3 linked regions of the Lepisosteus oculatus genome follow. The protein of the gene in region 1 purifies or fractionates together with the protein of each later gene. This does not show direct contact. Links are inferred from orthologs where the notes say so. Each region holds a gene or a part of one and is shown on either strand. Other genes may lie near its edges. The genes, in order: kcmf1, acot9.1 and abhd10b.

Region 1 (10,563 bases):
GAAAGTATTCGGCCCCCTTGAACTTTTCAACCTTTTGCCACATTTCAGGCTTCAAACATAAAGATATAAATTTTTTATTTTATGTGAAGAATCACCAACAAGTGGGACACAATTGTGAAGTGGAACGAAATCTATTGGATTTTTGAAACTTTTTTAACTAATAAAAAAATGAAAAGTGGGGCGTGCAAAATTATTCGGCCCCTTTACTTTCAGTGCAGCAAACACTCCAGAAGTTCAGCGAGGATCTCTGAATGATCCAATGTTGTCCTAAATGACTGATGGTGATAAATAGAATCCACCTGTGTGTAATCAAGTCTCTGTATAAATGCACCTGCTCTGTGATAGTCTCAAGGTTCTGTTGAAAGTGCAGAGAGCATCATGAAGACCAAGGAACACACCAGGCAGGTCCGTAATACTGTTGTGGAGAAGTTTAAAGCCGGATTTGGATACAAAAAGATTTCCCAAGCTTCAAACATCCCAAGGAGCACTGTGCAAGCGATCATCTTGAAATGGAAGGAGTATCAGACCACTGCAAATCTACCAAGACCTGGCCGTCCCTCTAAACTTTCAGCTCAGACAAGGAGAAGACTGATCAGAGATGCAGCCAAGAGGCCCATGATCACTCTGGATGAACTGCAGAGAACTACAGCTGAGGTGGGAGAGTCTGTCCATAGGACAACAATCAGTCTTACACTGCACAAATCTGGCCTTTATGGAAGAGTGGCAAGAAGAAAGCCATTTCTCAAAGATATCCATAAAAAGTCTCGTCTAAAGTTTGCCACAAGCCACCTGGGAGACACCCCAAACATGTGGAAGAAGGTGCTCTGGTCAGATGAAACCAAAATCGAACTTTTTGCCCACAATGCAAAACGATATGTTTGGCGTAAAAGCAACACAGCTCATCACCCTCAACACACCATCCCCACTGTCAAACATGGTGGTGGCAGCATCATGGTTTGGGCCTGCTTTTCTTCAGCAGGGACAGGGAAGATGGTTAAAATTGAGGGGAAGATGGATGCAGCCAAATACAGGACCATTCTGGATGAAAACCTGTTGGAGTCTGCAAAAGACCTGAAACTGGGACGGAGATTTATCTTCCAACAAGACAATGATCCCAAACATACAGCAAAATCTAAAAAGGAATGGTTCACAAATAAACGTATCCAGGTGTTTGAATGGCCAAGTCAAAGTCCAGACCTGAATCCAATCGAGAATCTGTGGAAAGAGCTGAAAACTGCTGTTCACAAACGCTCTCCATCCAACCTCACTGAGCTCGAGCTGTTTTGCAAGGAAGAATGGGCAAGAATTTCAGTCTCTCGATGTGCAAAACTGATAGAGACATACCCCAAGCGACTTGCAGCTGTAATCGCAGCAAAAGGTGGCTCTACAAAGTATTAACGCAAGGGGGCCGAATAATTTTGCACGCCCCACTTTTCATTTTTTTATTAGTTAAAGTTTCAAAAATCCAATAGATTTCGTTCCACTTCACAATTGTGTCCCACTTGTTGGTGATTCTTCACATAAAATAAAAAATTTATATCTTTATGTTTGAAGCCTGAAATGTGGCAAAAGGTTGAAAAGTTCAAGGGGGCCGAATACTTTCGCAAGGCACTGTATATTACTACATTATCAATGCATAAAAAACATTTAAGAACAGCTTTGACTGTTGCTGCTGAAAATGAAAGCACTGCATTATATTGATTAAAAGCTAGGATTGGACTTCTCAGTTAGAACTGTAGTGGTATTTCCAAAATGATTTACTGCCAGTTACACCATTTGAAATGTAACCAAGACCCAAGAGCCACATTAAGTGCCTTTAATGAACATCAGTCTTATTCATGGAGATTTCAGCTATGGAAGCAGCTAAGGCTAATCACAATGTAATTAGCGATGAACAAAAAAATGATGTACCCTGAAAAACTGTGATAAACTTTCATCTTTCTCTAATGTTCTGTTCTTTGGTTTAGTCTTAGGCACAGGAAATAGTGTCCTGATTTGAACAGTGACCTTTCATTTGAAAAATGTCATTTGCTAAAATCATTTTGCTCAGTCGGTGGTTATTAAATTAAACTGACTAATTTAATTTTTTACGGTGATTACACAGATTTATTCAAGTTAGTAGTAGTAGCAGCAATCATGTCTATAGTAAATTAGATGATAAAGTGTCAAATTTATATTTTCTATTTTTACTATTCCATGCAAAAAAGAAGTAGAATTTTATTTTCACTTTACTTGCTCCTTTGCAGAAAATGCATACTGACAATATGCATTCAGATTTTATTATTGCTCAAATTTTATGATTTATGTACAACAACATCATCTCCATTAATTTATTATATAATTTTATAATAGTTTACATGTGCAATAGCATCCAAAATATGTTTCCAACCTAAAAAACAATAATGGTTATATTTGAAGGAATTGCACAATATTAACAATGTTTTAGAACTGATTTGAAATTATATATAATGTTCAACAGGCTGTGTGGGTCACGTAATGAGTGGTTGTACTGTCTACACCTTAATGTTTGTAGAAACTTTCAGAAAGGTAATTTCCTAATGTATCTGAAGTTATGAAATCTAACCAGTGGTGTTACAAATACTGCCGGTAATTACAATAATTACAAAGAAATTGCTAATTCTTATAGCTAGAAAAATTGAGCAAGAATGTTTGCTTGTGTTAAGATCCAGTGATGTGTTACTACTGTACATGCTGATCCCCAGTTGATGTGTCAGGTCTTTAGTGAGCCTTGCTGTGTGTAGTTGAACATGATTGAGATGGTGGGCCCTAAACAATGTGCTCAACATACAGTAAATGTTTGCCTAGAGATCACCACTGATAAGTAGAAGCCAACTCCTAATATCCACACCCAAGTTCCCCAACACTGTAATTCTTTGCTAAGTTTTATCAGTGTGCTCTTTCATTGCTAAATGAGACACCAAACCACAAATAATCTGAAAACACTTACCTTTGCCAGCATACAGTGGGATTTCACCCATGTTGATGCACAAATTGAAGTTGGGCAGCACAGCAATATTGAGAAGAGGTGTAGTAATTATAGGGGTTCTTGATAACTGTGATGGGATTATGAGTCTCCTATGATGCCTAATTGTGTCAGCAGCTGTAGTGGTATTTCCTATTCTGTCAGTTCTATTGATGGGTTTTACCCAGTACTAATAGGAGAACTCTCTCATAGAAAGAAAAAGTAAAGCCGTTATTTTTACAGAAAAGAGTGACATCTGGTGGTAATTTCAAGAACTGATTAATATTGTATTGCTTAGTATTCCTTTATTTCCTAGGGCGCAGTCTGCTTGGTGTGTGTATGCTCTGCCTGTTTTTGCATGGGTTTCCTCTGGCTGCTCCGGATTACATTACAAAGACATACTGGTAGGTTAAATAGCTTCTGGGGAAATTGGCCTTGGTGTGAGTGTGTGCGTGTCTGTGTTTGTGCGTGCCCTCTGATGTTGTGTTTTTTTTAAATATTTGTGTCTTGCATAATCATACTTGCTTTATGCCTGTTTGTCTTCTGAGACAGGCTCCACCTCCCCTCTTTCCCTGTATTGGATAAAGCAGCCAGAAAATGAATGGATGGGTGTGTAGAACTCACAAGCCTGACGTCATGCCACCACAGGCAAATTGATCTGATACACTGAACTGAAAAGGAAGTTAGTCTTAGCAGGTTTAAATTATGACAGTCCAAGGCCATCACAGACACAGAGTTAGATTCTTCTTCTTAACAGTAACTCCTGTTTTCCCATGGTATGGTAGACAGAGTGCAACCATGTAATGTTTTGTACCTAGAAGAAACACCCAAAGATTGCACTGATCAGGTCTGGCACTGATGTGCTGCTGCTATTTGTTCCATGGTGCCTGGCATTTTCCAGATATTGCTCTTGAGGTCTTGACTGAGTCAGGGGAAATGAAAGCTTCCTCTGCATCAGTGGTGGCAACATGGCTCAGGGTGTGACATGCACATCACTGGTAATTTGGCAAGCAATGGGCTTCCACTGCTGTATCCAAGTAATAAAGGACATTTCTTAAATCCTGAAACAACTTTTCTTTCATTTCATTGCTCTTAATTTCTTGCACTGCAAAGAAGCGGACCCTATGTTAAAAATGTAAGTACTTAAGTCATTGAGAGCAAAATGGAGATGTACAGTACCAGTAGTGCTTTACAATGGGAAGGTGGAAGTATGTTTCCTTCAGCTCGTGTTCATGGACACAAACAAATTCCTACTAGGAACTGATTAAAGGTCTCCATGCACAATTCTATTACTTTCAGGTCGATATTGAAGCACTTGTGTCAATGATCAGATGGGAGGAACTATAATTCTTGGGTATCAAGAAATGAGCTGTTTAGAATTTCTTACCAACAAGGAATCCACTTCCTTCCACAAGGTGCTGTAGTAAGGTCTGTTATTAAGGGAAGTCTACAGGATGCCCATGAATATGTGAGCGTCTTCATGAAAATATCTTTGTGGAGCAGGCGATTTAGAATAACAAACCCACATATCAGCATGTCTTTGTGAGGTGAACACAGACTGAAGCACCAGGAGTAAACCCATGCAGAGAACATGTACACTCCACACAGAAGGCACCCCAGCCCATAAATGAGCAGAGAATTCTAGAGCCATGAGGCCCTAATGACCATCACCACACTACTATGCCATAGTGCATAAAGGTATCTGATGAATAATTACAACGAACAACCAGTTGGATATACTCAGCCTTACCACTACTAGACCAAGTAGCCTTCAAGCAGAAATCCGAACTAGTGGGTACATGTGGAAATTACATGGAAGCAATTTAAAACCAAGAACATGATGCACTTCTTTACCCAAAGGGTTGTATGGAACAAGCAGTTCAGCCACGTTTTTTTATAGCTGATAACGTGAAAGAAATCAGGGCATTAATTAACTATTACCAGTTTAAACAGGCTAGATAAACAAGCTTATGTTCTAAAACAGGACAAACACAAACATATACTGTACGACAAGTTGTTGTTGTTTTTTTTTCACATGGGGCCTAGGAGTTGCTCATGTAAATAGTAGATATTTATGCTACATGCTTTAGGATTACAATACTGATTAAAAGGTCTGGAAGTATGAGATGAGTCTTAGAATATACGATTGCATACAGTATGTGTATAAAAAAAAGTTTAAAGAAGCGACATATCATCATATTTTTTTGTGTTGCGTAGCAATGTTATGTAAAGGAGACGAACAAAAAAGCACACAAAAAATACTCATCCGCGCAACGCGGTAAAATAAACTTCTGTCCCTGAGAGATATAAGCACACAGAACATACAAAATAGTTTTCACAAGGATTTATGGGTTATTATTAATCTTGATACATAATGACTTCCATAGACTGAAAAATCTAAATTTGTAAGACGAAATATAAAGTGTAATGACAATAAAATATATTTTTCTTCAATGTATTCATGGGTAGCAATTTAATTCAGGAGTGCATTTTAACCAACTTCTACTAAAACTTTCTGATGTTATTGAAAAATGTAAGTACGGCGCTGTTGGTGCTTTGTAATTTTTCAGTTCACTGAATAAAGTTTTGTTAAAAAAAATGACAGATTGTAGCCAGTTCCGCGCTGCTCCGGACTCGTTCAGTAAAGAGCAGCCAGCTCGCCTTGTCCAGGTCAGTAGGGAAGCATGGGGCGAGGCGCGCCCTCTAGCGTTTCGATCGGAGTCCTCCAGCGCTCCGGCAGCACAGCAGTGACAGACTGCGAGGGGGAGGCAGAGAGCTGGGTGCTCCGGATCCATCTTCATGAGAAAAGAGGCGAGAGAGAGCGAGTCCCGGCTTCACTTCTCAAAAGCGGCATCTTCTTGTGTGATCCGTGCCAGGGAGCCCAAGGAGGGGGCTGTGTCAGCGTCTGTAGGATGTCCCGACATGAAGGTAAGCGGGGAAAAATGGGTGCCATAAAGAGGGAGACGGACGAAGACGGCGGCGCTCGGCGGAGGGGGTTGCCATGTTTTGTATTGAAATGCATTGGAAGAGGCGCATGATGGCGGCCGCCATGAAAATTTGCCACTTTTTTTTCCCAACCCCCCTCTCTCTCGGGCTGTAACTAGCCGGAGCCTGACTGCGCCGAGTAAGCGCAAGGACGAGCCTCCAAATAAATCTCCTTCGGGTCGAAACCGGCAGAGCCCCGGCCCTGCTGGGAGGCAGAGCACGGAAACGAGCGAACTGCGAGCTTTCGGAGAAGGCCCAGGTAGTGCCTCTTCGGATGTCGCTACGGGGGTGAAATCGTGGATTTTTCCGAGCCTCCCCCCCCACCCCTGGACTCCCGGCCACTGAGGTGCTGATTGCACTGTCATCAAGGTGGCCGATGCAAGGATGAGGCCTGTCAGAGGCCTACTACTCCGAGAGCAGACAGGGCACGGTGCGTCTTTGAGCCACCGCTTTGAATTTGTCAAGGAAATATCGAGACCGCTTTACTGCTTGGGTGTTGCTTTATTGTGCCTTTTCGGGTTTCATTTTGTCGAATACCGACTCTGGGAAAAAACAAAATATTAAGGCTGGGTTTCAACAAGAGATTGCCTGTTCTGGACTGTTGGGGAGTTTTAAGTTACTTCTGGTTATGGTGTTGTGTTTTACTGCTCATAATTTAATCTTCTTTCTCAATAGGCTGTCGATATTTACTGATTACGTATCAAGAAAAGGTGAATTTCGTTTAAGAGTTAATAGCGCATTGACATGTTTTTATATATATACTTCACAAGTAATATACGTATCAGATGAGTTTTTAACTTAGGTATTGGCTGTCTTGTTACATAATCAGCTGTACAAGCAGTTTACTACCATCTGAATCCTTTGCCTTTCTCAAAATTATAAGCCCCCTTAAACATTGTGTTCTTTATTTTGGGGGTTGCAGTGACGATACTGATAGTTTATAATCGCTGTGATATTGCAGGGTAACTTTTGGAGGAAGAGGAATTATATTTTACTAAGCATGTTACAGTAAATCGTAGCTCACAAGGAGGAATCTGTGTTTAAACCTTAGCCAAATCTGAAAAAAATAAACCTTAATGAATGTAGTTCCGGTTATTCAGCGTTTCATGTGTGTGTGTGCAGTGCTGTTTCATGCTATGAAATATTTGGAAGACTGGGTAGTGGGAGAGACCTAGATATATCTGCGGGGTAGGCGTGTTTGCAACCGAAATCCAGCGTTTGCACATGTAAATGGTTTCTGAAGAACTGCATGAGCCACATCAGTGAACGGTTTTTGACTAATCCAGAAAAGCAAAGAGTTGATCAAGTTGTTCAGAGTTCTTTTTTTTTTACCAGCCTCAGTGCAATGGGTGACATAAAAAATTAATAAGCATTGATCCTGGGTTTAGACTGCTGCTTTGCTTATGTATAGGTTGAAAGTGGTAATTTATGAACGAAAAAGACACCACTTGATGCGAAAACATCCAAGTGGTATTTAATTTGGTATCCAGACCAGTTTTATCTGTGCACCTTAAATCAAGGAATTACAGGAGGCATTGGCCATTATGATTGAATGACTCAGCTGCTCAATTTGTATTTAATTATAGATTTTAGTGAATTAAAGATCTACTAAACTGATTAAGATTTTGTGTTCACCAGGATTCACAGCTCTGAAATTAAGAACTTTAGTTTAACCCAGGTTTTTACTGAACTTCCGTTATATTAAAGATTGAATCCCTTCCACATTTTTGAAGAAGTTCTTCCAATAATCTCTGCTTCGTTAATATACTTAATTTGCCTCATTACTGAATTTGTTCTCTTTCAGATTTTGGGTAAATGGCACTGTTTACCATGAAACGATGACTTGCAGACCTTAGTCAGAGTGATCAACCACTGTAGAATATATGTGGGTTGTGATGCAAAAAAACCCCAATAGGCACAGTGGTAGAGATGTAGAAATAAGTACTGTAATTTAACCCCTTTTATAAAGGACACAAGCTAAGTCTGAGCTTGTTTGCTTGTTTTCAGTGCAATATGGCCCAAAGCACAAATGTTGTGAAAGTGGAAAGATATTCTAAAATAAGTTTCATCCCTATTGCAATGCTTGAAACGTCCCAATTACATTGCAGCTTTCTGGAAGGAGGTCTGATTTCTGAAACTTGTTTTATACAATCCTAACTTTGCTAGCTCACAGCTCTTTCATCACAAACAGTACTATTATGGTCCTCAACAGCATTCTGTATCTGTGGTAGATTTGTTGTTTGTCACAGTAAAAATTCCTTTGCTTTTGTGTCAGTGCTTTCTTAAATTCAGTTAAGGAGTGTATTTGATTCTGGCTATTGGGGAAGAATATCTGGAAAGGCAAAAAATGCAACACTTTTGCCAACATTTCTGTTGAGACAACATGAAAGGGTGCTTTTAAATGCTGGAAGAAGGAATACATCAAAGTGCCAGGCTGATTTTAGAAAAACTTTTTGTTTTTCTCCAAGCCTGATTTATTGCAACTTGTTCCCAAGTTGTACTAAAATTATATGGGTTGTCAGTAAATCAGTTTACTTTTTTGTGCTTTTTACAACTTAGTGTATATATTATTTAGATATCTTACTAAAGAGGTGTGGGAGCGTTTTTTCTTATGCTTTTCTTAATATTGATGCTGGCGATTGTGTACACTTTAATTGTTGGGAAGTAGCTTTATAAATCAGTTATTGGAGTTATAGATGTCCAAAAGCCCCATTTTTAGTATATGTTTAAATACTTTGAAGAACTGGGTGCAGTATCATATTTCTTAGTTCAGGATAATTGTGCATTGATGAATGGAGCAAAGTTTAATATTTTACTGTCAAAATAAATCTACAATTCTAATACTACAGAGGATTTGTCCACATGGTATCCTATACTTTCACTGACCGTCTTTAAGTGAAGTTAATTGAAGACTTTTAAGTTTTTTTCCGATAGTATTTTTGCTTGAACATTCACACATGCAATGCCTCTCAGTTTACTGAAATATGGTATATATTTTAAATTTAGACAAAGTAGATAATACCTTCGTTGTAAAAAAATATAGTCCTTAGAAAGCATTCAGTCTTTGAATAGCATGTGCTTAATTTGTAGTAATTCCAGCTGATAGTCAAGTGTTTTACATTTTTTTTCTTAATAGCTTTTTCTAGGATGTGTTGAACATTCTTTTCAGGTTTTAAAAGCATCATCTTCAGTTGGCTGTGTTTTGCAGTCACAATACAGATTTACTTGTTAACTGTATAAAGGATGAGTTAAAGATCTGTCATGCACACTCCCTATCTTTGTCTCATAACGTCTACGAGAGAACAGCGTGGTTTATCTCCTCAAGTTTTATTTTTGTGATTTTTTTTGTACATTGTTGAAGATATTAGGAGGTGATCAATTTTATATATCAGCTTGAAGGTTCATTCTGCACGGTTTTCAGAAATTGCAAGGTATTCTAGACTGAAAAACCATTGTATGTTTTCATATAATTGTGCCAATAACATTGCGATTTAATATCAAGCAAAATTACTATGATAGTGTATTAAAGCAGTATTATTGAGCAAAACAAAGTCTGGGGTAGGTTGCACAGAGACTGGATAGATGCCATGCTAAATAGTGGAGCAGTGCCCAGTAACACAAAACCGTGAAGTATCGTTTCTGTGTGAATCTTGGTACTTAGCTGAATTTCTTTTCTTCAGGAAGGTTTCATGTCAGAATAGCTAAAGCAGGCCCACCCTGTGATGCAGGCACAGCCATGCTACTTGGGAGCAATTAAAATTCTGCATTAAACTTGTCCGTGTGCACTTTGTTGTTGTCTTAAAGGTAGGCTATACACCCTGGATTTTTTTATGTTGATGTTCCTGCCAAGCTTAGCTATAGTTCCATAGCTGGTAGTTCTTGCAACATCTTCTGAGTCTTTAATTGCTTAATTGAATTATGTGTTTGAAGTGACATTGGTACCAGGTCTTTAAAACCTGCATGGCTAGTTTGTAAGTTTGGGAGCAAAATCAGAAGCCTTGAGTTCTTCCAGATCTCTGAAGCAGTTAGACTTTGCTTTTTTATAACGTTCTTGCTTACCTACAGAAACGGTTGTAGAGTTCTGTGGTATACATTTTAATCTGTGGAAGCATTTCTTCATAAAACCTTTCCAACTCAGAAATCAGGTTTGTCATTTAATTGCTTGAATTTTAGTAGTTTTTCCATCTATTTGTAGAAGTACAGAGTTTTCTTTCTTTTATTCCAAAAGTACCCAAACATGTTTGACATGCTTGTACAGTATCTAGTCTGTATCCCACTAATGAAACCAGTGGTTTTAATTTAAATGGAAGGCAGTAAAAGGAAATGATCTAGGTGTATTTCGACTAAAGTAAAACTCAAGAGTGTGTAAAATTCTTTATGGCTTTTTAATGACTGCTGCAGTGTTGCAGGGAACACTGTAAACATTTTGCATGGCGGTGGTGCACTCTGTCATGTTCCCTTTCTCATTGACTTTTAGTTGTAGTTCTGCTTTTTATGAAACATTTAATGGCACTTTTGCTGCAGATTAACATCTTTAATAGATGTTAAATTGGGCACGGGAGAGGTCAGCTGACAGAAGCACTGTGGTTTCTTGT
Region 2 (10,463 bases), on another chromosome or scaffold:
AGGGGTTCGCTGACCTGGTCCCGTGTGACCACCCCCCTGCTGGTTCAGAACCCAGCTGAGCTCTTCACTTGATTGATCTGGCTGCTCGACCGGACCATTGACAAGCTTGGTTTCTCTACTCGAAAGCTGGGAGATCAATTCACTCAAAGGCCACCTCAAAGGCGTCATCACGTGTAAGAACCATTTCACATGAATCAGTCCATGTGTGAGGCCAGCTGGTTGGTCACTTACCTAACGCTGTTGTGGACGTTGAGGTACTTCTCACGCAGCTCCGGCTGGCTGCCCAGGGGCAGGTGGACCTCGATGTAACTGTCCTTCATCTTGCGAGCGGGCAGGTCTTCCTGGCGCGTGGCCAGCTGGGAGGTCAGGGAGGCGCGCTCCCGCAGGGCCTGCTGGTGGTCGCTGCACAGAGACCGAGCCCAGCAGCAGCACCAGGAAGAAGGAAGGGTTAGTTCCACATGCGACAGCAGCAAGAAGAAACACGTTCCAGCTGTAGAGCCTCCTCCCGGTGTGAGGGAGAGTGAGGAAGGTGGCAGGGAAATAAGTCACAGGAGAGGACAGAGCAGGTGAGAATGGACACACAGGTGAGAGGTGTCCAAACGAAGGGCGATCTGGGGAAAGATGTGTGAAAATTGTGATTTCAGGCTTTCACACCTGTGTGCACATTCTTACCAGCTCTGTCCTCCGTTCTCCTGTGCCTGACATCCCTGCTCACTTCTCTCTCTCTCCCTCAGACCTGAAGCATGGCCTGTTTCTCTTTTCTTCTTTTCAGTGTGGAATTAACCTTTACTTGTTCCTCTGCAGCCAGGCTGCCACAGTTCCCTGCTCGAACCTAAAGCAACACCAGCTGAGTGTAATCAGGGTGGAGCGGTGGCTCTGTGGCTAAGGATCTGCGCCTGTGGCTGGAAGGTTGCCGGTTCAAATCCCGCGGCCGGCAGAGGAATCCTACTCCGTTGGGCCCCTGAGCAAGGCCCTTAACCCTAACTGCTCCAGGGGCGCCGTATAATGGCTGACCCTGCGCTCTGACCCCCAGCTTCTCTCCCTGTCTGTGTGTCTGTGTCTCCATGGAGAAAAGCTGGGGTATGCGAAAAGACGAATTCCTAATGCAAGAAATTGTATAGGGCTAATAAAGAAACATTATTATCATAATTAGTACCTAGACAAGCTACCAAGTCTTTCAGGTCTTGGAGTCTTCATAGGTAAAACACTAGAGGGCAGCATCTAATGACACACACAAGTGTTACATGTTCGAGTAAAACATTTTTTAAATAATTTGTTCAAGGAGAAATCCAAGAAGTATTTCCAAGAAACATGACACATCTAACTTCTATATTTTAAAATGCTCCAGCACCAAAGTTGACTGGAGACACTACACACTGGAGCAATATCTAGCAAATCAAAGTTTCCCAGCAGGTTTTACTGAAACAACAATCACTGAGGAATCGCCCTTGACAGCCACCTGCCTGCCCGATTCATCCTAAACTGCAGAAAAGAGTTTTTATTTCTGAAGGCACCCACATTCGACCTTAATCTAGAGACTGACAGAAAAGTGTATTTAAACAAGAATGAAAAAGTGTCTCTGGGAGGTCAAAATTAATCACATAAATGGCACACTTACACCCAAAGCTTAGCCAAGCTTCTTATTCAAACAAGTTGGAATTAAACATATCATTAAAAATGACCCACAATGAAGAATTAAATACTATACCTCCAGTTAGTTGAAGCTCCCACTATCTGCCTCAGTCTATTCCTAACTGATAAAAAAAAATAATTCATTTACATGAACTGTTGCAAATCCACATTCAATCATACATTCCACATCATTTTCCTTCTTAAATAATTTAACATAAGGGGGTAGAGATAAAACGAAAACAAATTACTTTATTTTTCCATTTAAATGAACACAATCATGCGTAGCAGCAGAGAACTGCTGGGAGATTACGTATTTCACTACGTGAATTTATAGGCGTAGAACACCAACAAAAACTAAAATAACATGGAAATGCAAAAGGCAACAGTTAAAGGTATATATAGTCACCTTATACTTATATACTGTATATATAAGCGCATACATATATAATCATGCAAAGCAAAGCAACAAGCACTGTCCACCCTGATCACTCTTGTAGTGCTATTTACCCACCTCTCAGTAGAAAGAACTTGCTTTCACTGAGAATTTAAAAGACCTGTGCTGCAGGCTGTAAGGAAATTTACAAGGTAATGACATATTCCGTGCAATTATTCACATCTTCAATTTCTCACATTTTCTAAAATCCATCTATTGCCTCAAAGGCAAAACAACAACTGTCAGAAAGGTTAAGTTCCAATCTGCAAATAACTTCCTTGTAAATTCCTTTCCAGTTCAGGGTCCGTTAGGTAGAATAAGTCAGTGCCCAGCTCGTGGCCTACAGTACGTGCAGGTGTTAGATTGTGTTACACATGCTGGTTTGTTACTGTTTTTACCAACACACCATCGTTCACAAGCAAGTGCGAATGTCCTGCAGAAACACAAAAACAAGGCTAAGTCATGGAATGAGGACCAAACTTGAAAACAATGCAGTTTGCAGACAGTAAAAAGTGGAGATTAAAACTATCTGGGAAGCATCTGGTCCCAGGTGTTGTATGTGTTCGGGATTATTCATCTTCTGCACTCAATTTCTGGCAAATCTGTAGCCCCACAAACATTCAATAAAACTCCTTAATTACTGAATACTCAAGTCTTCAAAATGTCAATTTTTCTTAACTTGACAACTGACTTTAATACGGTCCAATGCTTTGTAAAACACCCTTAACCCTGCAGAATAACTAAGAGGAAAACTAAACCAGACATTTAATTTAACAACATTCTATGCAACTCCACAAGTTTTCCATCGAGTCAGAACCACACATAACACTATAGTACAGTACTGAAACCCTATCTTATTTTGGTACCTGAATCCCTTCTAAGAAATATTGATAGCACACAGCCAGTCTTAAAAACATTTTTTTTCTTCCCAAAAACACTGTATGGGCTTGGAAAATCTGTATGGGAATGTCCTTTCATTAATATAACACATTTAGGATGTTAACCCCAGAGTCCTGTCTTGAGTTCTAAAACACACACCCTTCCTAAAATTCAGCTTCCTAAATCAACTGGTGAAGCGGTTTCTCACTCCTCCCCTAGATCTGCTGTGCTTTTGGGGCTGCTGGTGCAGAACGAACACTGTGTGTCTCCCAGGTGGGGCTGCTGGTGCAGAATGATCACTGTGTGTCTCCCAGGTGGGGCTGCTGGTGCAGAATGATCACTGTGTGTCTCCCAGGTGGGGCTGCTGGTGCAGAATGGCCACTGTGTGTCTCCCAGGTGGTGCTGCTGGTGCAGAATGGCCACTGTATGTCTCCCAGGTGGGGCTGCTGGTGCAGAATGAACACTGTGTGTCTCCCAGGTGGTGCTGCTGGTGCAGAATGGCCACTGTGTGTCTCCCAGGTGGGGCTGCTGGTGCAGAACGAACACTGTGCGTCTCCCAGGTGGGGCTGCTGGTGCAGAATGGCCACTGTGTGTCTCCCAGGTGGGGCTGCTGGTGCAGAATGGCCACTGTGTGTCTCCCAGGTGGGGCTGCTGGTGCAGAATGAACACTGTGTGTCTCCCAGGTGGGGCTGCTGGTGCAGAATGGCCACTGTGTTACTCCCAGGTGGGGCTGCTGGTGCAGAATGGCCACTGTGTGTCCCAGGTGGTGGCTACACTTTAGTGAGAAAGGAAGTGGATCCTCTGCTGTATGTATTATAAGCCGTTTTGGGGTTCTTTGGCATGAGAGGTGATGCACAAAATGACTATGACTATATTGCTATGTGACAGAAACCGGAGGTGGATATGGGGACAAGCAAACGCTTGTTTAGTTTACCTTCTGCCATGTCAGGAGACCGTCCCTGTGACCCCGCAGAGCCGGAGGACAGAGCCCGGGCTGCCACCGCGGAGGCAGCGTTCAGTAACCGCAGCCTGAAGAACAAGCACATCGCGTTTCCTGACATTTCCTGAACAGTATCTCACACCAAACACACCAGAGAGGAGATAAATACCGCTCTGTGCGAATACACAGGGCCTTTCCTTAATGAGGGTTTTTAAATTCTGCACTTCATTGCACTTTGACAAATTCTGAGACAACATGCGGACGAGACTGCTCGGTTCTGAGACCACGCCTATCAATGTAATCACTGTTGGACTATTTCACCCCAAACACCTGGAGATTAGAATCTTATTACGCTCCCGTTATTAGAAATAATCTGTATTTAAAGGGCGGTTGATAAAAAAAATGTTATTTACCGTAATGGTTTATTAAACAATGATAAAATCGAGTTTGGTTCACAGTGCAGAAGCTTCACAAACTTGAGAAGAAGAGATAAGGGTGATTCGTTTAAACATGCTCTATGTAATATGAACAGACTTACCTTAGGGACAAGTAAGGTAACATTTCTGTGAAGCAGTAAGAATATAATCTATGAAACACGCCAACGCGCACAGCACAGATGGCTAAAAATGACAGGACTAATAGTTCCGGGTGGACGTGACGTTTCCTATTACGTCATGATTGCAGCAAACCCGCCCTATAAAGTTTACACAAGCGCTGCTTCTGAAGCGTCAAACTGAAACCGAGTTCTTAGTTGCAAAAAGCTTGGAAAAACCCCTTGACAGATATTGCCTTATAAACAAGGTTCCGGAAATACCATTTAAAGGTTTTAGGAATTATCCCGTTCAGCTAACGCTCTCTAGGTTCAGATATAAAAAAGATGATTCATGCGTGTTCTGTAAGACTGGAAAACAAGCGCTTGACACGTTTATCGGTTACCCGTACATACAAAGCTGTTTTAGACAGACTTACGAAAGTTTGTCTTTCGGCATTTAAATGTGAATTTTAAATGTAAGGACTTTGGCATTATGTTATGTTTTGCCAGATGTAATATGATTGAAGAACATTTATGATTAATGTGTTAGTACTACCGGGTAGACATCACCTTCACAAAACAAAATGGTCTCATGCGGCACCCTGCTTTAAAGTTTATAAGATGGAAATATGACTTAAGAAGCAGCATTAATGAGCAGCGTTGTTCTTCATTGTATCCTAAAATGCACAGGGGGTCCGTGCAAGGCAGCTCCAATGGATGGATATACAGCACGTTCACGGATGTTATCAGCGCATCCGGGCTCTGGACCCGCTGGAAACCTCGGACCCCGGACCGCGGCCGAGTGCACCTGCGCGCGCGCTGCCTCGCGGTGACCGGGCCGAGAAAAACACAGGCGCGTGCACGAGCCCTTCTGCGACAGACCGGGGGGAGACGTGAACGAATGTGAGCGAGCAAAAAAAATAAAAATAAATAAAAAAAGAAAACTTCTCGACAGCGCGAACTGCACTACAAACAGCAACAGAAAGGACGGGGAAAGGGGTGATGAAGCAGCCCGTAAAAACGAGTATTGGGACAGAATCGAGATCCGCACCTGGGATGATCGCCGACAGTGCCTTTTGTACACGAATTCACCACCTCCAATAATGTCCTGATTTGTTGTATTAAAAAAAGGTGAAGACACGTTTTTGAGCGGAGTTTTTCCTGACATGTAAAGGCGTTCTTTCACTTTCACCTTTGATTAAAATATGCATTTATTTTTACATAATTCTCCTATTTCAGTGGGTATACAGTACATCACTGTATGAGGCATGCATTGTGAATTATTTTCTAACCGCACTGTTTTCGGGTGAAATGAGGCGTTATCTTGCAAAACAGAGGTTCAAGTTAAAGGGGGGGTAATTGTGCTTCTGTTGTATGTCAAGGCTCAAACTCCTTGCGGACTCCTACGGCGATTTACTTGTGCACTTTGATGTCTTAATAGTACGTCTCTAGATCCATTTGTTGACCCTGCTATTCTGCATTCTTTCTCGAAATGAACCCATTGCTCTTTTCATTGTGTTTCAAGGAGATCACGGGGCATTTGAGCTGGGGCGCCAGTGGCAGATGTGGAGCTCTCGCCTGACAGGGGACGAGCCGGACTCGTCGGCCTGATCCGTCAGGTGGGCTCCAAGCCGCCCCGAGCCGCCCCGAGCCGCCGTCCTTCTGTGCGCTTTTGCGCGAGCACAACGACCGGAAACATCGGAAACGTTTTCTTTAACGATGTTTTTACACCGTCGTTTTTCCCCCCGTTTTCTCCAAAAATCCGAATGGCAAATTTTTTTAAAAAAAAAAGTATATTCCCGCAGGGCGGTAAAACGTTTGCCCTTCTGCGGAGCTGCCCGGCTCTCCGAAGGGTAAGTGACGAGCCATATAGCATTCACAAACACCCCTCGAAACAGGTGGCATTTAAAGAGGAGAAGGAGGGGAGGGAAAGGGGATTTAAAAAAGTACATATTCCACTCTTGTCAGATCGTTGGGGGAGGTGTTAAATGTTTGACAGAGAGCCGCGGCGCTGTGATTTTCCGAGCCCGCCCTGCTGTCTGACACACCGGGGGTGGGGACACAGGTGTGCACTCAAGGTCCTTAATGCGGCCCGCGGGGAGGGGGTCATTCCGAGTCCCGTGACTGGTCAGAACTCTCCCGATTGTTCTAGAACCAGCGCCCCCCCAGATGAGCGGCCCCGCCGCTTCAGCATCGGCGCTGGCGACTTGTTGCCCGAGGTCCTGATGAGACAAAGGGACAAAACGACCCTTCCATCGGGCGTTAAGATCCTCAGCACTTGTAAAAACAAACGGCAAGTCGGAAACAGACACGCAAAGTAAACCCATAAGTACACGGACGTGATATTTTTTAAAATTATGTTTGCGACGCTACAGCCAAACGTGCACTACAGTTGTACAGTACAGTTTCTGTTGTTTTTTTTCCCTAATTGGGGCACCAGGCTGCAGAAGCCAACCGCCCAGAAGAAAGGTAAATTTCCACCGTGCTAACACAGCATTCGCTAGGCCACATGTAACAGTTTGGGTTAAATATTGTTTAAAAAGACTCCGTGTGCACCTTAAAAGGGGGAAAAAAAACTCTTTCGGGCTCTAAAGAGGCGCAGAGGACAAACAACAAAGCACTAGCCCTGAGGTAAACAACAAGACATAGTGACGTAGCGGCCTCGATAGAGATTGTGATTGGTCATCAGACAAAGAGCAGACGCCAAGCACCCGCCCCCTCCCCCGCGGAACCTATAAATACAGGCTCCCGGGTCGGAAGCGCTCAGTCTAGCGCCGTTCCGAGCCGCTGCTGTTGGATGTAATCGGTTCACACGGGGGTCTGGGTCCCAGACTGTCAGCGGAGGGGGTAACACTCCTGGGAGCCGAATGAAGAAACATCTCCTGCTTCTCTTCACATTCAGAGGACTCGTGAGAAAAGGGAAAAAGAGTAAAAGAAGAAAATGGCCAAGTTCATATTGCGGAAAGCCGAGCCCAAGGACGTGTCTGACATACTGCGACTCATAAAGGTAAGTTCCGGTTTGGCTTGTGACGCGTTTTTGTTTTTGTTTTTGGGGTGTTTTTTTTTTTTTGCAGGCCTCTCCAGGCAGACGGACAGTCGGCACCCGTCTTGGAGCACCTGAAAACGTTTCCTTTATTTATCTTTTTTTTTTTTTTGCAGGCCGCGTTTCTTTACGGTTTCTTTCTCGGTGCCGTTACGCAGGTGATAAACGAGGCTGTTTTTTCTAGTCCGACGGCCAGGGTGCAGGCCCGTCTCCCGACGCACCGTTTCCTCTTTATCGGTACAGGGGACCTGCAGCCACGTAAGGAGACGGGGGGGGGGGGAGAGAGGGGTAGGGGGATGGTGGGTGTTTTGACATTTAAAAAACAAATCCTAAGCTCGGGTTGGCGGCGAGTAACAAATGCCTGGAAGTTGAGTTGGCGGTTTGCGCAGGAACTAGTCCCGGGTATACATCCCCTTGACCACCCACACCTCTCCCAAATATCGCTTCCCCAGGCTGGGTCCTGCTCCCTCAGACCGGCAGGTGCGTGGGTCCCACAGCCGGGGCGACCCGGGACTTAACGGGGCTCTTCTGTGGTCTTGTTTTCCAGGAGCTCGCGAAATACGAGGAGATGGAGGATCAGGTCATATTGACCGAGAAAGGTACAGTTTGCCAGCAGCCGCACCGCCGAGCGGGGTAGTCTCTGATCAGACTCTGGGCCTGCATTGCTGGCCATGCAGAGAGAACGGGCAGCACTCCCAGGCCCCTCTCAAGTCACATGAGCCTCCCTGAATTTCTTTCCCATAACGTAATAAGCGTCCCCGTCCATCCCACACAAATATCCATGTAGGCTTGCTGTGTGTTGCTGAATGCTGCTGAAGTGCTACTGCTCAGTCAATCCTCGCTTTGTAGATGGCCGTACAGGGGTGTCCTTATGAAAGCCCTGTCAATCTGTTATGCTAAGGATTGTTTCCCTGTCACGGGGGAAGAGGGTGGTGGTTCGTAATGGGTCGGATTGTAGACATTCAGGTTTGTACTCCCAGCGTCGCTATTTTTGCCCAGAAGCGTTCCCGGGAGCCATTGCTTAGCAATCAAGGAAGTGGCCCAGCTTCTTCAGCCCCGATCTCCCCCAGCCGGCTCGAGGCGTCTCGCTCACCAGCCCGTCTCCTACTCCAGTCTTTTTTTTTCTTCTCCATCCTCCCCGTGTTCCGCAGATCTGCTGGAAGACGGCTTCGGAGATCACCCTTTCTACCACTGCGTGGTTGCAGAAGTGCCTGAGGACCGGCGGACAGCTGAGGGTACTTTTTTTTTTTAGGGAGTATTGCAATTCCAAAGCTCCGCTTTCATTTCAAGTAATGCATGATCACGTTTCCTTGAGTGTGGGTTAAGATGCGATGTGCACTCCTCTTTCAGGTGTGGTCATGCATTATTTGTGCAGTGTGGCTAGGATATCAGTCTGGCTCCTATCTTTAGATAGGACTGAAGTATGCAGTGTCTTCTCTAGCTTTTCTTATTGTTGCAGTTGCACATAGCATTTTATGGGATGTGCAAAAAATGGAATGTTAAACTTGCTGCTGGTACATTAAGATTCGGATGAACGTCCAGTGTTTTGAAGCAGAAGGGTGGCTTTTTTTTTTAAGTTGACCAGATTGCAGAATGTTGACCCTGGCTACTGAGTTTGTAACCCTGTTGAAGTGTATTCTCTCTAATTTATCCCCAATCTTCAGGTTACAGTCTCTTGCTTCGACATGTACACAGCCCTTGGCGTGTACATGGGTGGGCGGGGAGGTAACTGAAAGATCAGTTACACAGTAACATACATGATCGTAACACGCCAGGTAAGGCCCACAGGACTAGCGCCATGCCCCAAACTGCACACGGTAGCTCAGAACATGCCGGCAGCCCTCTCTATTAAGAGGGTGCATGACAGGTCCTGGAGAAGGTTTTGTGCTCTTTTTGTTTTTAAGAGCTGCACACAGGCAAATTCTGTGGCTGTAGAGTTCTTCCAAATTCAAATGTTGGCAGCGATGACCCACACTCTTCACTGTGGAGACTTCAGTTGCAATTTAAGCATTGTTCCACCTCCAATGCAGGTCAAAAAGTTATTCAGTGCGTGTATTTGTAATCCACTGGTATCTTCGATTGGCTGCGCAAGGATGTTTCTCAGTCTTGACTGTATTCACAGTTCACCCTTTTTATATCTAGAGTTTAAGACTTATTCTGAACTGCCGTGTAGATCCGATAGCGATCTTGTTGGTTTTTGCTTCAGGGGACAAATAAGTCAAGCAGTCCAAGTCGGCGTGACTTGAACATGCTGTTTAATTGACAAGTACTGTCCCCCAGAACACAATCATGCATGGAACATGTCCTCTTTCCTCAAATTTGTGGTTGCCCTCTATTAAATGTTAATTTAGCCTGGAGAACCTTCTCTAATTGTCATGACCTGTTTTCCAGGTTATAATGTTGTAGGATTTGCCATGTACTACTTCACCTACGACCCCTGGATTGGGAAACTGCTGTACCTGGAAGACTTCTATGTCATGAAAGAATACAGAGGTAATTTTAAAACTGACATGCTGCTTTAGCTTTTCACGTGGGACCTGTGACTTCGTTGATTGTATTCAACTTGTTTTTCTTTTCCAGGAGATGGTATTGGGTCTGAAATCCTGAGGTATCTCAGCCAGGTAAGGCTGGCTGACTTTTGGGTGGTGGGGGTGACGTTTTTGGGTCCTGTGGTTTACATTGTGGAATGAAGTACTGGGAAACAAGGGAGTGGCCTTTTAGTGTTAAGTGACGTTTCTGGAGCTCCTTAGTCTTGGCTCAGTGGTAGCACGTAGAGATTGTGGACTGTTCCCAAGGGATGGTCAGCCTTGGCTCTGCATGGGGTGTCATTGTTTTTACTTGTCGTTCCGCCAGACCGCAGTGAAGTCGCGCTGCAGCAGCATGCATTTCATCGTGGCCGAGTGGAACAAGCCCTCCATCGAGTTCTACAAGCGGCGCGGCGCCTCGGACCTGTCCCTGCAGGAGGGCTGGCGGCTCTTCCGGATCGACAAGGAGTACCTGCTGA
Region 3 (10,727 bases), on another chromosome or scaffold:
ACTCACAACCCAAAGGCATACCATACAAGCACTAAATAGCACATACAAAGTATGTGGTATTTGGAATCTCTAACTCCAGAGGGAAAGAGAATGGCTTGCTGTACCTAGAAAAATAATTCACGTGCCAGAGCTGGCACATGAATTGAGGGTTACCAACTGCTAGCCTAGGGCACTCTGTTGCACACTGACCTGGTTTTGCAAAGCACTGTAATTCCAATATACATCAGCCTCTCTTCATAAGTTGAGGAGCTCTGCTCCAGCTTCAAACAAATGGATCATTTGAATTGATCTTTTCTTCACAGTCTATAGGACCTAGAACAGTATTGCACTATGCCCCAGCCAAATCAGCACTCAGAAAACATTTCATCCTTGGACAAGCACTGTTTGCTTTTGCTTTCAACAAATATTTGCAGCTGTTCAGTTAACTGTAACATACCTTTATATTACAACATGCAGCTAGTGTGTATATTATTTAAGCTTACTTCAAGAGCAGCTCTCTTCACTGCATTCATAATGGATTGCTCACACAGTGTAAACATATCAGTTTCACTGTCATTAGCCTGTTGAGTTTTTTACACTAATATTTAGTCAGCCTGTGCTTCAGATTCTGAATTGAAGATGTGTTAAAAATTAGCTCAATCAGCACAGCATGTTTTGTTTAAGGATATATAAGTACATTTCTTTATAAATATCCTGCTTGTTTTTTTCCTCCCTTAAAAGCCTGGCATGAATAATGTTTTTTGGCCAAACATCACTGGATCCATCTCTGCAGATTTTATCACACCTGACAACACTGGGCTCATTATTCTGCACCTGAATACTTAATTAGGTACATAACATATGAATACATTACATCATACAGTATAGGTTGGTGTTAAGTAATTTACTAGGTATACATATATAGTTTAAGTAGGTATTAATTACATTGGTACATATTGTAGGTACACATTGGTATTAAGTAATGATTATAGAGGAACATATACAAAGTATAAATAGGCATTAAGTAATAAGTAGGTGCAGAACAAGACTGTTCACAAGTGCAGATATAAATTAATCCTGGTAAAGCGAAATAATTCTCCCATAACTGGACTGACTTTCATTAACAAACAAATTAAAACTGCACTGATTCAATCACTTAAGAAATCATATTAAGTTAAATCAAAAAATAACAAAGAATAATGAAGACATTCTTGATACTCACAAGATTTGGAGTGCTGATGTATTTCAAGGAGAACCTCTGGAAAAACAAAAGAGATTTGTATTATTACTTATTAAAGCGAGCACATGCATTTTAATTAACAGAGTGACATTTGAAATCACACACATCTTGTGGAGCATTAAAAACATTCTTTGCACAACCTCAGTTTTGTTTGGAAATGTGACAAGTTATAATAACCATAAAATAATGTTTTGCTCCATGTTTCTTACTTTTGCATGCGAGTATTATTCAAGGTATAGAATATTTCTTAACATGCCCAGTATATTTGAGAAGCTTAGTGCCTGGCTTGAGAAGTGTTTTAGCAGTTGTGGCAGAGATCTCAAAGAAAACTTATAGTGGGGGTTACCAGGAGGCAAACTGGTGGGTCACTCTGTCGCGTTTGGTACTGGGAGAATGAATGTTTTCTGGTTTCACATGGGGGGTGACGACCAAAGACATTTTCTTACTTCTTGGTGCTGGTGCTAAGGAGGGTTTCTCCTTGCAAGTTTTATTTCTTGGGGTTAAACTGAAGGATGGCTTATTTTCCTACAACACAAATAAGTGGGGATCTCAAAAAGTATTGGGGTGCACCCCCCCCCCCCCCCGGCACAAGCCAGTATGTCCACTGTAAACCCCTCCGAAAGGCTGGCCAGCTCGTAATTAATACCTGAAAAAAAATCGGCACACCTTTAAACATCAGATAGAAGAGAGCTTGAGTTTATCTGAGTGACATGTGATGTTCCACCTTATGAGTGCAGATAAGACATTTGTCGGGGACAATCCCTGCACTAAAACCAAAAAGAACGCAACATTTCCAGAACCAAAGAAGGGGGCTTGCATGTCGCACAACCTGAATGGTTTACTGCTCAGGCTGTGAAACAGAACACTCTATTGTTGAAGATGACAAGAATGAAGCGTCTGTGAGAGACAGAAACTGGCAGCTGATATTATCAGCTTGTCAGCACTGACCTAAGAAGGTAAGACAAAGACCTGCACTCTCTTACTGCTCTCATTGATGAGCTCCTTAAGAACAACAGCGGAGCACAAAGCGGATCCATCCAACCAGGAAATCACCTCTTGAGCACGAGACAGGTTTGCCAGACTTCCTTCTCATCGATACTAGAGAGTGGCATGTAGTTTCTAGGAGGGTCTGGGGTTCGGCAGCAAGGGCTGGACACCAGATCATCAAGGTACAAGGATGGAACTTCATTCCACAAATGCACACAATCCCATTTTTGAACATGCCAGTGCATTTTCATTTTATTAGACATATTCCTGGAGTAAGGTTTTGGACTATGAATAGCTCCCATGTGTTATTAGCTGGGAGAAGATGATAATTTGAGAGTGCAGAGCTCTTCCAGTTCCTGAAAAGGCACAGCTAGCTGGAAGCCTGACAGCCTGGAAAGCAGATATGGATTGTTTTATTCCGGCCTAAATGACATTTATCCAGTGAGCCCATTTCTGAGTGCAGTTCAAACACCAGGGGCTATACAGGGGGCTTGTTTTATGACCCAAATAAATTAATTTCAGACAAAGTAGCTTGTAACCTCTGATGGCACTGACCCACTTATAAAAGTTATTTTCGTCGAGTGCATAATACTACTGGAGCCTAGGCTTAGCCACTGAACAGTTAGGCCACCCCTCTCCTTTTGGCTGTTTTTTTTTAATCGCATAATTAAAAATAACGGCGTGTCTGCCAAACACTAGATTTTTCCGCCACGGGATCTCACTCCCGCACTCAGACATTTTAAAAACCGCTGGCGAGCTATTAAACTATCAATAGCTGAGCCGTTTTATGGTATTACCATTCAGCAACAGAAGGGGACAGACTTATTAATTGAGGGGACATGCTCCCGCATGCGGTTGCCAAACAGGGGAACGTCAGTCCAAAGCAATTTAATTAAAACCGAATTAGTTTAAAGTCAAAGCTGAAGAAAGTTGAGCTTCAGCAAATCCTTTGCCCCCCGTTAGGATGGTGGGGTAGCCCTTCTGAAAGTTAACGAGTCGCGTTGGTGCAGCCGGGGAGCTGTAGGCAGCGTAGTGGCTGAACGTCTTTCACGTTTCTTAAATGAAATAACCGAACCAAAACTCCGGCATAAACCTTTCTTATAAAACGTAGGATAACACCGCTGTCCGAATGCATCTCGCAATTAGATTATTCGCCTATACGTTAGGGGGGAGCACAAAGAGAATTAAGTTTATAATGAGTATCAAATTAGCAGCAGTCGAGGTCTACTATGATAGAAGCATGACAGTTGATTCTGGGGGTCTCCTGGATGGCGCCCGGGAAGTGCTTTTGTGCAAGCGGCCACAGAATAGTTTGACCCCCCCCCGCCCAGCACTCAAGATTAGTTCAACCCCCATCTCTGCCGGATGGCCCCTCAATCACCCCGCAGTAGCCATGGCAACCGGCTAAACTCAGCGGCCGGCGACAAAGCCTTAAATATGAATCGCGAAAATGAAAAGACACTTGCTATCCATTTTCCAAACACGCCTTGTGCCTTAGAGCAGGTTTCCCCAATTCAGACGCGAAGTTACGCTCCTGATTGTTAATGTCAGCGTAACTTTATAATGAACTTTAGATGATAATACGCAGCCTGCGACAACTTTCAGAAACAGGGAAAAAAACAAAACAGATTTAGTACATCCGTCCCCCAAGCAGGAGTGCAGGCACTTCCATCGGGCGCTCTCGAAGTAACTTACCTTTTTCATCATGAGGAGCTTTTTTTAAAATTGTGATTTAGGCTGAAAGAAAAAATCCTTCCGTCGGCTCAGATCGCGCAGGGAACGGTGACCGAGTTTGAAAAACGCATCGCCTCTTCCTCCTTCTTCATCCATGAATCGCATCGCCTCTCCGGGCTCTCGGAACCGCGGCTGAAGACCCGTCTCCACGGCGCCGTCTCAAACTGGAGAGCAGAGATTTGCTCGGGGCCGCCACGGTTCAGGGCGAAGATGAAAACTTGAAATACAGTATCGTCTCCTCCTCACCTCCCCCCACCCTCCCAACCGGTCGGTGCAGCCGCACACGGAACAAAACTCGCAGTATCGCAGGCAGGCGACTGAACACCATCAAGAGGGGAAACTAGAAATACAGAAATCAAGAGAGAGAGAAAAAAAACCCCCAAAACGTATAAATGTCCACTTAAGCAAGAAATGCACGCTTCTCAGAAATGAGATGTGTGCCTGTGCACAGGTTCCCCTCGGTCCAAAACAGCGCCCTGAACCCGCCGTGAGGCGGAGTTACATACTTGAGTCGAACTGCAAACAGCCGGGAACGAAAAGGCGAGGTCTGGCACTTCGGGCATTTCACAGATTTGCGGAAATCTCTCTCATCTGAAAATAAGCCCCGGCGAGCACTTCGTCCATGTGCAAACTGGCTCGCATCGTCCCTCCAATAACACGGCAGGCTAACTGCTGGGTTTCGCACACGTTTGACCTGATGGACAGTAACGGCACTGGAGATGGGAACAATTCCCCTCCCTCCCTCATCCTCCTCTCAAAGAGAGCACAAAGGTGGTCGCATCTACTGAGCAGCGCACAACTCCTTAATAATAATAAAAAAAGGTCACAATATAATTATTCAACATTTAAACGCCAAAAGACGTGTGATTCAACGTCTGCAGTTATCTCGCCGATCCCCAAATTATTTCTGGCTAGGATTCGCACCTATCGAACTCCCTCAACGCTGCTATTAACAATAATTTCCCGTTTGATGATAAAAAAAGCCAAACACGGCGTTTTCTCTGGATGACTCCATTCCCGATTACTGCGTAATTTTCCATCCCACGTTATAAGAAAGCGACTTAAAAGCGTAACAGAAGCAGTCGTTCTAATAATTTTAGTTAATTTCCTGATCAATCTAAAAAAAAAAACTTATGATGACAATTAGATTTAAATATTGTTTTAGCTTTCAAACAGTCGCATTCCAATAATTTCTCATTTTGATCCCGGCTACGTATGTTTTCTATTTCCTGTCATTTTAGCCGCAATATAGAGTTCAGGCCAATTATATTAACAGAGGCAGAGAGAAGCTACAACCCCATAACTGAAGCCAGTATCAGAAGAAAGAGCCTGTCCTTCTAAAACAACCTCCCTGTGGAGATTTCCTGTATATCTTTTCATTCCAAAAATGCCCTGAACTGCTTAAACTGGAAACGTGTAGCTACTTTGAATAAAGTACGTTTGGTTCACATGTGACTCCAGGAATGCGAATTAACACGTGCACAGATTATGCAAATAAAACTGAGGATTTGGTTGCCGGTTGTCCCGAATTAAAACCGTAATAACCTCGTTTTCCATTTAAAAAAAAAAGATGCATGGTTTCAGATGAGATTTTGTAAAACGGTTCCGGAATATTTTAAAAGCAAACCTTGCAGTACCTGAACAGACAACGGAAAATCTGAAGCTCCCAAACCCTACAATAGCTTTTCCAACTAGATCCATCGTATTTACTTTGTGGGTTCCTTTCTGTTCCAGTGGAACAACCTAAGCGCGAAGAGGAAAAGGTTAAGGTTTATCCCATGCTGAAAAGAAAAGAGACACGACGTCTCTTCTTTGGAGTTTCTTCTTTTCAGACGAAGAAGGCTCCACAGTCGCAATACTGTGTCCCTTTTTTTCTTTTCAGCTTTGAATAAACCTTTATCTGATCCTTTGCAGCCTACGCATGCTGACGCAGCTCCCCAACTCAACTTCTTCAACTACAATTTGAGTCAAGGACTGAATTTGTGACCCTATACCTGCAGCCAGGACGAGCGCATGACACACACCCCCTCCCTCCTCAACAACAAAGTACTAAAACATGTCGGGTGGCGGCAGATATGAACTGAAAAGCCCATTTCTTAGATAAGCGGTCTTGTACCCGAGGCGAAGGGGACCAGTCTGCTCACCAGCCGCTGGGCTGCCCTCGTGCCTCACGCGCCTTCCCTTCTCACTTTCAGGTCCGCGCGCCTGGCTCTCGCTCGCTCGCTCGCTCGCTCCGCGCGGCTCTTCCCTCTCGCGGTGTTTGGGCCGGGAATTGCGATCCAGCATGGCGGCCGTGGCGCTGGGGAGGTGCTGCAGAAGACTCCTGCGGACCGGAGGCCATGGCGGCGGCGGGACGGCGCCCTCGTCCAGCAGTGCAGGCGGTCAGTACTCTGGCCCTTGCTAGCGGCCACGCAGCTCGCGTTGCTGAAACACGGGGGGTGGAAAGTATCCGTCGCTGTCGGGAGGAGGAAGGGAGAGATCGCAGGGGGAGTGTTAGGGGCCCAGGCAGCTCCAGAAGGCCAGGGAGCGACTTTTTCCTCCCTAAAGCGGTTTTCCAACAGACCAGATTAACGTTTCTTTGTAATAAAATGTGTAAAAACGCAGCGTGTATCCGGCAAAAACAATAATAAATGCGCCTTGTCTGTTCCTGCTTTAGATTGTCCTAGTCTGGGCGGCTTAATTGGAGGTGTAACACCAAACACGGTTAGCTGTGCATTTAAAACGCTGTTCTACATCACCTCGTCATTTCATATGCAGTCGGGAAAAAAATATGATCCGATAGGGAGGACGTCTATCGGAAGCGTGGAAGCTGACCGATGACGATTCGCGTTGCCGGTGACGGTTTTTGAGGAAAGTGCGAGTCTCGCTGGTTGAAGGTTTTAAAGGGGGATGGTCCTGTAAAGACCCGGGCCGTTGGCTCAGCGCTCCGTGCTGCGGGGGAAGAAACGCGATGTTTGTTTTCGTTCGGTTATGTTCAGTCTGACTGCTCTGCTGTACGTCGGAAATCTCCTTATTATCGCCTACCGTCGGAAAGGGAACAACGTTTTAATGCCTCGGCAAAATAGTTACAGTTTAGAACATGGAGACAACAATAAAGGCCGAAAATCGGACAGCGCCGGGTTCGATGTCGTTGTCACGTCTTTTATGATAAATTCAGCCGGGGACTACAGACACCATTGCTATGCTCACACTGAAGATGACTAATCTTTCAGTAAACTGCACAGGAACCCGTGTTTCTCAACACTTCACCACGCTGGTGCTGGACTCGGGAAGTTCGCTACGGTTTATAACTGAGGGTTTTCCGGGTACCTAAGAAAAGTCATAAAAAATGACATTATATTTCTGTGTATCTGTCTGCATACTTGCAATGAAAAAAAACAACAAAACAGTTTAATTTAAAATATCCCCTTGGTTATGGGTGTCCTTCTGGAGTGTCTTAAGAGGAGGTCTCAGGACCAATGTGGGCTGTAAGCGTGAGACAGGACTGACACGTGTGGAAGACTTGTACACTACAGCGAAGGTAAAAGGCTCTGTCCTGGCGTGTGGGGTGTCGCGTTTGCAGTGGTTTGACGCAGTGAAGTGTAGCCTGGTGGCCTTCAGCTTTAAAGAAACTGTCCCGGGTTCGCTCGAACAGAAGGTCTTGCCCTTCTCTGGATGAAATATTTGGAGAAGTATATGTACCGCATGTCAGTGAAGCCAAGTTCATTTGATAGACCTTCCTGTGGCATTAACGTGTTTAAGGCGAGATTTGGCAGCAGAAGTGCAGTCTGCCGCAGGCCGACCCTGATCGCGAGAGCCGAGACGGCGCGTGTGATTTTAGCCGTGTCTGAAGATTGAGTGTGCGTCTGTTTATTATTGCGCAGGATGGGAAACGTGGGGAAGGCCGGGAGGTGGCTGAGTTTGCGGCAGGTACAGTACAGAGATTTGCCTCTCGGTATGAAGCCCCACGGGCAGCTGAAACTAGAGCATCCACAGAAAAGCCAGGGGATGGTTTTCACATGGTGCCAGCCCACCCAGAGCCTAGTTACCTTGCGCCTGGGGGTTCAGAACCTGGCTATACTGTGTGCCTTTGTTTCCCACAATCAGCTGCTCTCTTTCACTCAGCTTATACTGTACATCCTTCCCCACCATAGATTAATTTTTACCTTAGTGATACTTTATAATACTTCATAGGATCCTTTCTAATTTTGTACATGTATTGAAACGTCTCACAAGTGAAAACCAGTAGGAATCATGCAATAGATTCTTTGTTCATTTAACCACCTCTGGTTTTTCCTGTTTTGTGGCCTTTTAGGTTGTGAAAATGAGATTTTTACCTTACTGGAATGTGACATCTGCAGCAAAGCACTAACATTCCAGTTCAGCTGTCGGTGTTTAACTATGGTGAAATTAAACCCTTATGTGAGACAGTTCCTGTAAATAACTATGCCTACATTACATGCACGAAGAAAGCCTTTTGGTTTGGGGGAGTATCGTAATTATCAGTGCTTGATTTCCGTTTCTCATCCTGTGCTGGTGCGTGTCTGACCTGTGATAAAGTATTTTGAACTGAATTGAATAAACCGACCCAAAGGAGAAGATATTTCATTATCATCTAGGGGAAAAAAAAACACTTGTGTCAAATTAAGGCTTAGGATCAAAGCAAAAGTGATTACTTGTTCAACTCAAGTTTCCCTTTTAAGAGCTCATCAGTTTTGTTGTTGTTGTTGTTTTTCTCCTTGAAGGTGTTAGGCACAAGTCCTCAGTGCAGTATTTAAGTCGCCCCGACCTCCCGAAGCTGGCCTACCAGAAAGTGAAAGGCAAGAGTCCAGGGGTGGTGTATCTGCCAGGGTTTGCCTCCACCATGAATGGACAGAAAGCAGTGGCCTTGGAAGACTTCTGCAAGTCGCTAGGCCATTCGTATTTAAGGTGATTCATTTTAGAACTCCAGAGTGGGGTCTTATGATCCTGGATTACTGGAGCAACAGCAGTTTTTGTTTGTTTTCCAGTTTAACAATAACACAGCCTGTTCAGATATGCGTATGAATGTCCTTCTCATGTACTGAAAGTTGCACCTCCCAGCTCCCTTCTCCCGGGCACCAGTGAAGGTAACCTTTGAATAAGGTATTGCAGTGCTTAAACTTTGCCCTCTGTTTCAAATAGGTAATGCATTGACAGTGCAGTGTTTGATGTAATGGTGTAATGATTGCTAAAAGAAAAACATCGCTTCTACAGGTGGCAAGCAAAAAAAGAAAATGAGGAACACCAAGAACAGAGAAAACTGAGGCTTCCACACAAGTCTGGCTCATGTTTTAATGAAGCAGTTAACACCCCGCCGTGTTTAGGGTCATGTGTAAACCATGGACCGGATTGGCTGTCTGTAATTACGGCAAGGGGTCAGGCCGTTTCAAACGAAGGCTGCAGTAAACCTGACGCACTGAAATGAGATATCTTAAGCTGGATGTTGTAATAAATATGGCTCCCGATCTGGAGAAGCTAACCCATTATAACAATGATAATTGATAATACCTCAGAAAAACAGCACCATTGCTCATAGCAGGGGGGCGCGATCGTTTAATAACATGTACTTGTGCCGATTCCGCAATGACGTAGGGTCAGAATGCCAGCCTGTGATATGTACCCCCCCCTGGGGCTTTCTCTCAGGTTTGACTACACAGGTTGTGGGGAATCGGAAGGCGTGTTTGAAGAGGGCAGGATAGGCACCTGGAAGAAGGATGTGCTGGCGGTGCTGGATGAGCTCACGGAAGGCCCCCAGGTCAGTCTTGCCTCCGGTCAGTCTGTTCAGAGCAGCTCCCAGTCCTCCCGGGAGAGGAGACGGTAGGTGGTCTCCCGTCCCAGCCTGAGGAGCAGACGGTAAGATTTAGAAAAGTTTAAGTAGGTAGCTGCATCAGCGTGTGCGTAGGCTACAAAAGGAACAAGCAGAGAAAAGAGTTCAGGTTCCACAAGATAAAAAAGGCTCCACAGCCGAAACATTGCGTCTCTTTTCTTTTCACCATGGAATAAACCTTTGCTTGTTCCGTAATTATAATACAGTGTGTGATCTCCTGTCCCAGCCTGGAAAACATTAAGCCCATCTCTAGGTAATGTTCTATGTGTTGTACGTTGTATGTAAATGTCCTATGATGTGTTTGTATAGTAAATGTCTGTCTATGTTGTGTCAATTGCATATGCTGTTGCAGCGCTGTAATTCCTCGGCCATGCCAGTAGAGCTTGTTGAATTGAATTGAATGTTCAGAGGCGAGTGGGCGTGAAGCAGAGCCCAGCCACAATGGGCCCGTACTGAAGGAGCCGTCCCGGATTGAGCTAGCAGTCACCCCCAGACCTCTCCGGGGAGCGGGGGGCAGTGCTGGGAGTGTGATCGGGGCTCCCCCTCCCCCGCCTCTGTCAATTCAGTTCAATTCAAGGTGCTTTATTAGCATGACCGATGGGTACAGTCAGTGTTGCCAAAGCAAATAAAAATAATAAACAAAACAAAAAATAGAAGTAAAATAAAATCTACAGACATATTACAGACATTTACAACAAAGACATATTATAAAATATTGACATATACTGTAGGCGGCTGGAGCATTATTGGGAGACAGACTCACTGTTCCTCAGGCTGTGACAGGAGATCACATACTGGGCTGCCAGATCAACGGAGTTCCCTCCTCCCTCTCCCAGTAGGATTGGGACCCGTTGTGACTCTGGCAGGTGTGGGAACCTGTCTCTCTCTGTCCTGCAGGTCTTGTGATTGGGGCTCTCCCCCCCCACTCCCTGTCCCTGTCCCTGTCCCTGTCCCTGTCCC

The links.
Region 2: the proteins of kcmf1 (region 1) and acot9.1 purify together in Homo sapiens (affinity purification with mass spectrometry; 3 studies listed by BioGRID and IntAct, with this or other methods). This does not show direct contact. The link is inferred for Lepisosteus oculatus from reciprocal best matches to the Homo sapiens genes KCMF1 and ACOT9.
Region 3: the proteins of kcmf1 (region 1) and abhd10b purify together in Homo sapiens (affinity purification with mass spectrometry; 3 studies listed by BioGRID and IntAct, counting the BioPlex papers as one, with this or other methods). This does not show direct contact. The link is inferred for Lepisosteus oculatus from reciprocal best matches to the Homo sapiens genes KCMF1 and ABHD10.

The regions. Positions count from the first base shown.
Region 1 is NC_090698.1:23,487,713-23,498,275, reverse strand, and holds the start of kcmf1 (E3 ubiquitin-protein ligase KCMF1), read left to right. Parts: upstream 1-5,652; 5' UTR 5,653-5,667; coding exon 5,668-5,911; intron 5,912-10,563. UniProt on the Homo sapiens protein: E3 ubiquitin-protein ligase which accepts ubiquitin from an E2 ubiquitin-conjugating enzyme and then transfers it to targeted substrates, promoting their degradation by the proteasome.
Region 2 is NC_090700.1:4,387,543-4,398,005, reverse strand, and holds the start of acot9.1 (acyl-CoA thioesterase 9, tandem duplicate 1), read right to left. Parts: upstream 4,547-10,463; 5' UTR 4,446-4,546; coding exon 4,423-4,445; intron 3,974-4,422; coding exon 3,879-3,973; intron 2,499-3,878; coding exon 2,472-2,498; intron 1,755-2,471; coding exon 1,709-1,754; intron 403-1,708; coding exon 232-402; intron 1-231. Other genes in the region: diamine acetyltransferase 1, read left to right, coding at 7,358-7,423, 8,007-8,058, 8,611-8,694, 9,851-9,952, 10,040-10,080, 10,313-10,463. UniProt on the Homo sapiens protein: Mitochondrial acyl-CoA thioesterase. Catalyzes the hydrolysis of acyl-CoAs into free fatty acids and coenzyme A (CoA), regulating their respective intracellular levels. Regulates both mitochondrial lipid and amino acid metabolism.
Region 3 is NC_090700.1:5,878,886-5,889,612, reverse strand, and holds the start of abhd10b (abhydrolase domain containing 10, depalmitoylase b), read left to right. Parts: upstream 1-6,224; coding exon 6,225-6,321; intron 6,322-7,803; coding exon of another isoform or gene 7,804-7,849; intron 7,850-8,664; coding exon 8,665-8,848; intron 8,849-9,583; coding exon 9,584-9,695; intron 9,696-10,727. UniProt on the Homo sapiens protein: Acts as an acyl-protein thioesterase that hydrolyzes fatty acids from acylated residues in proteins.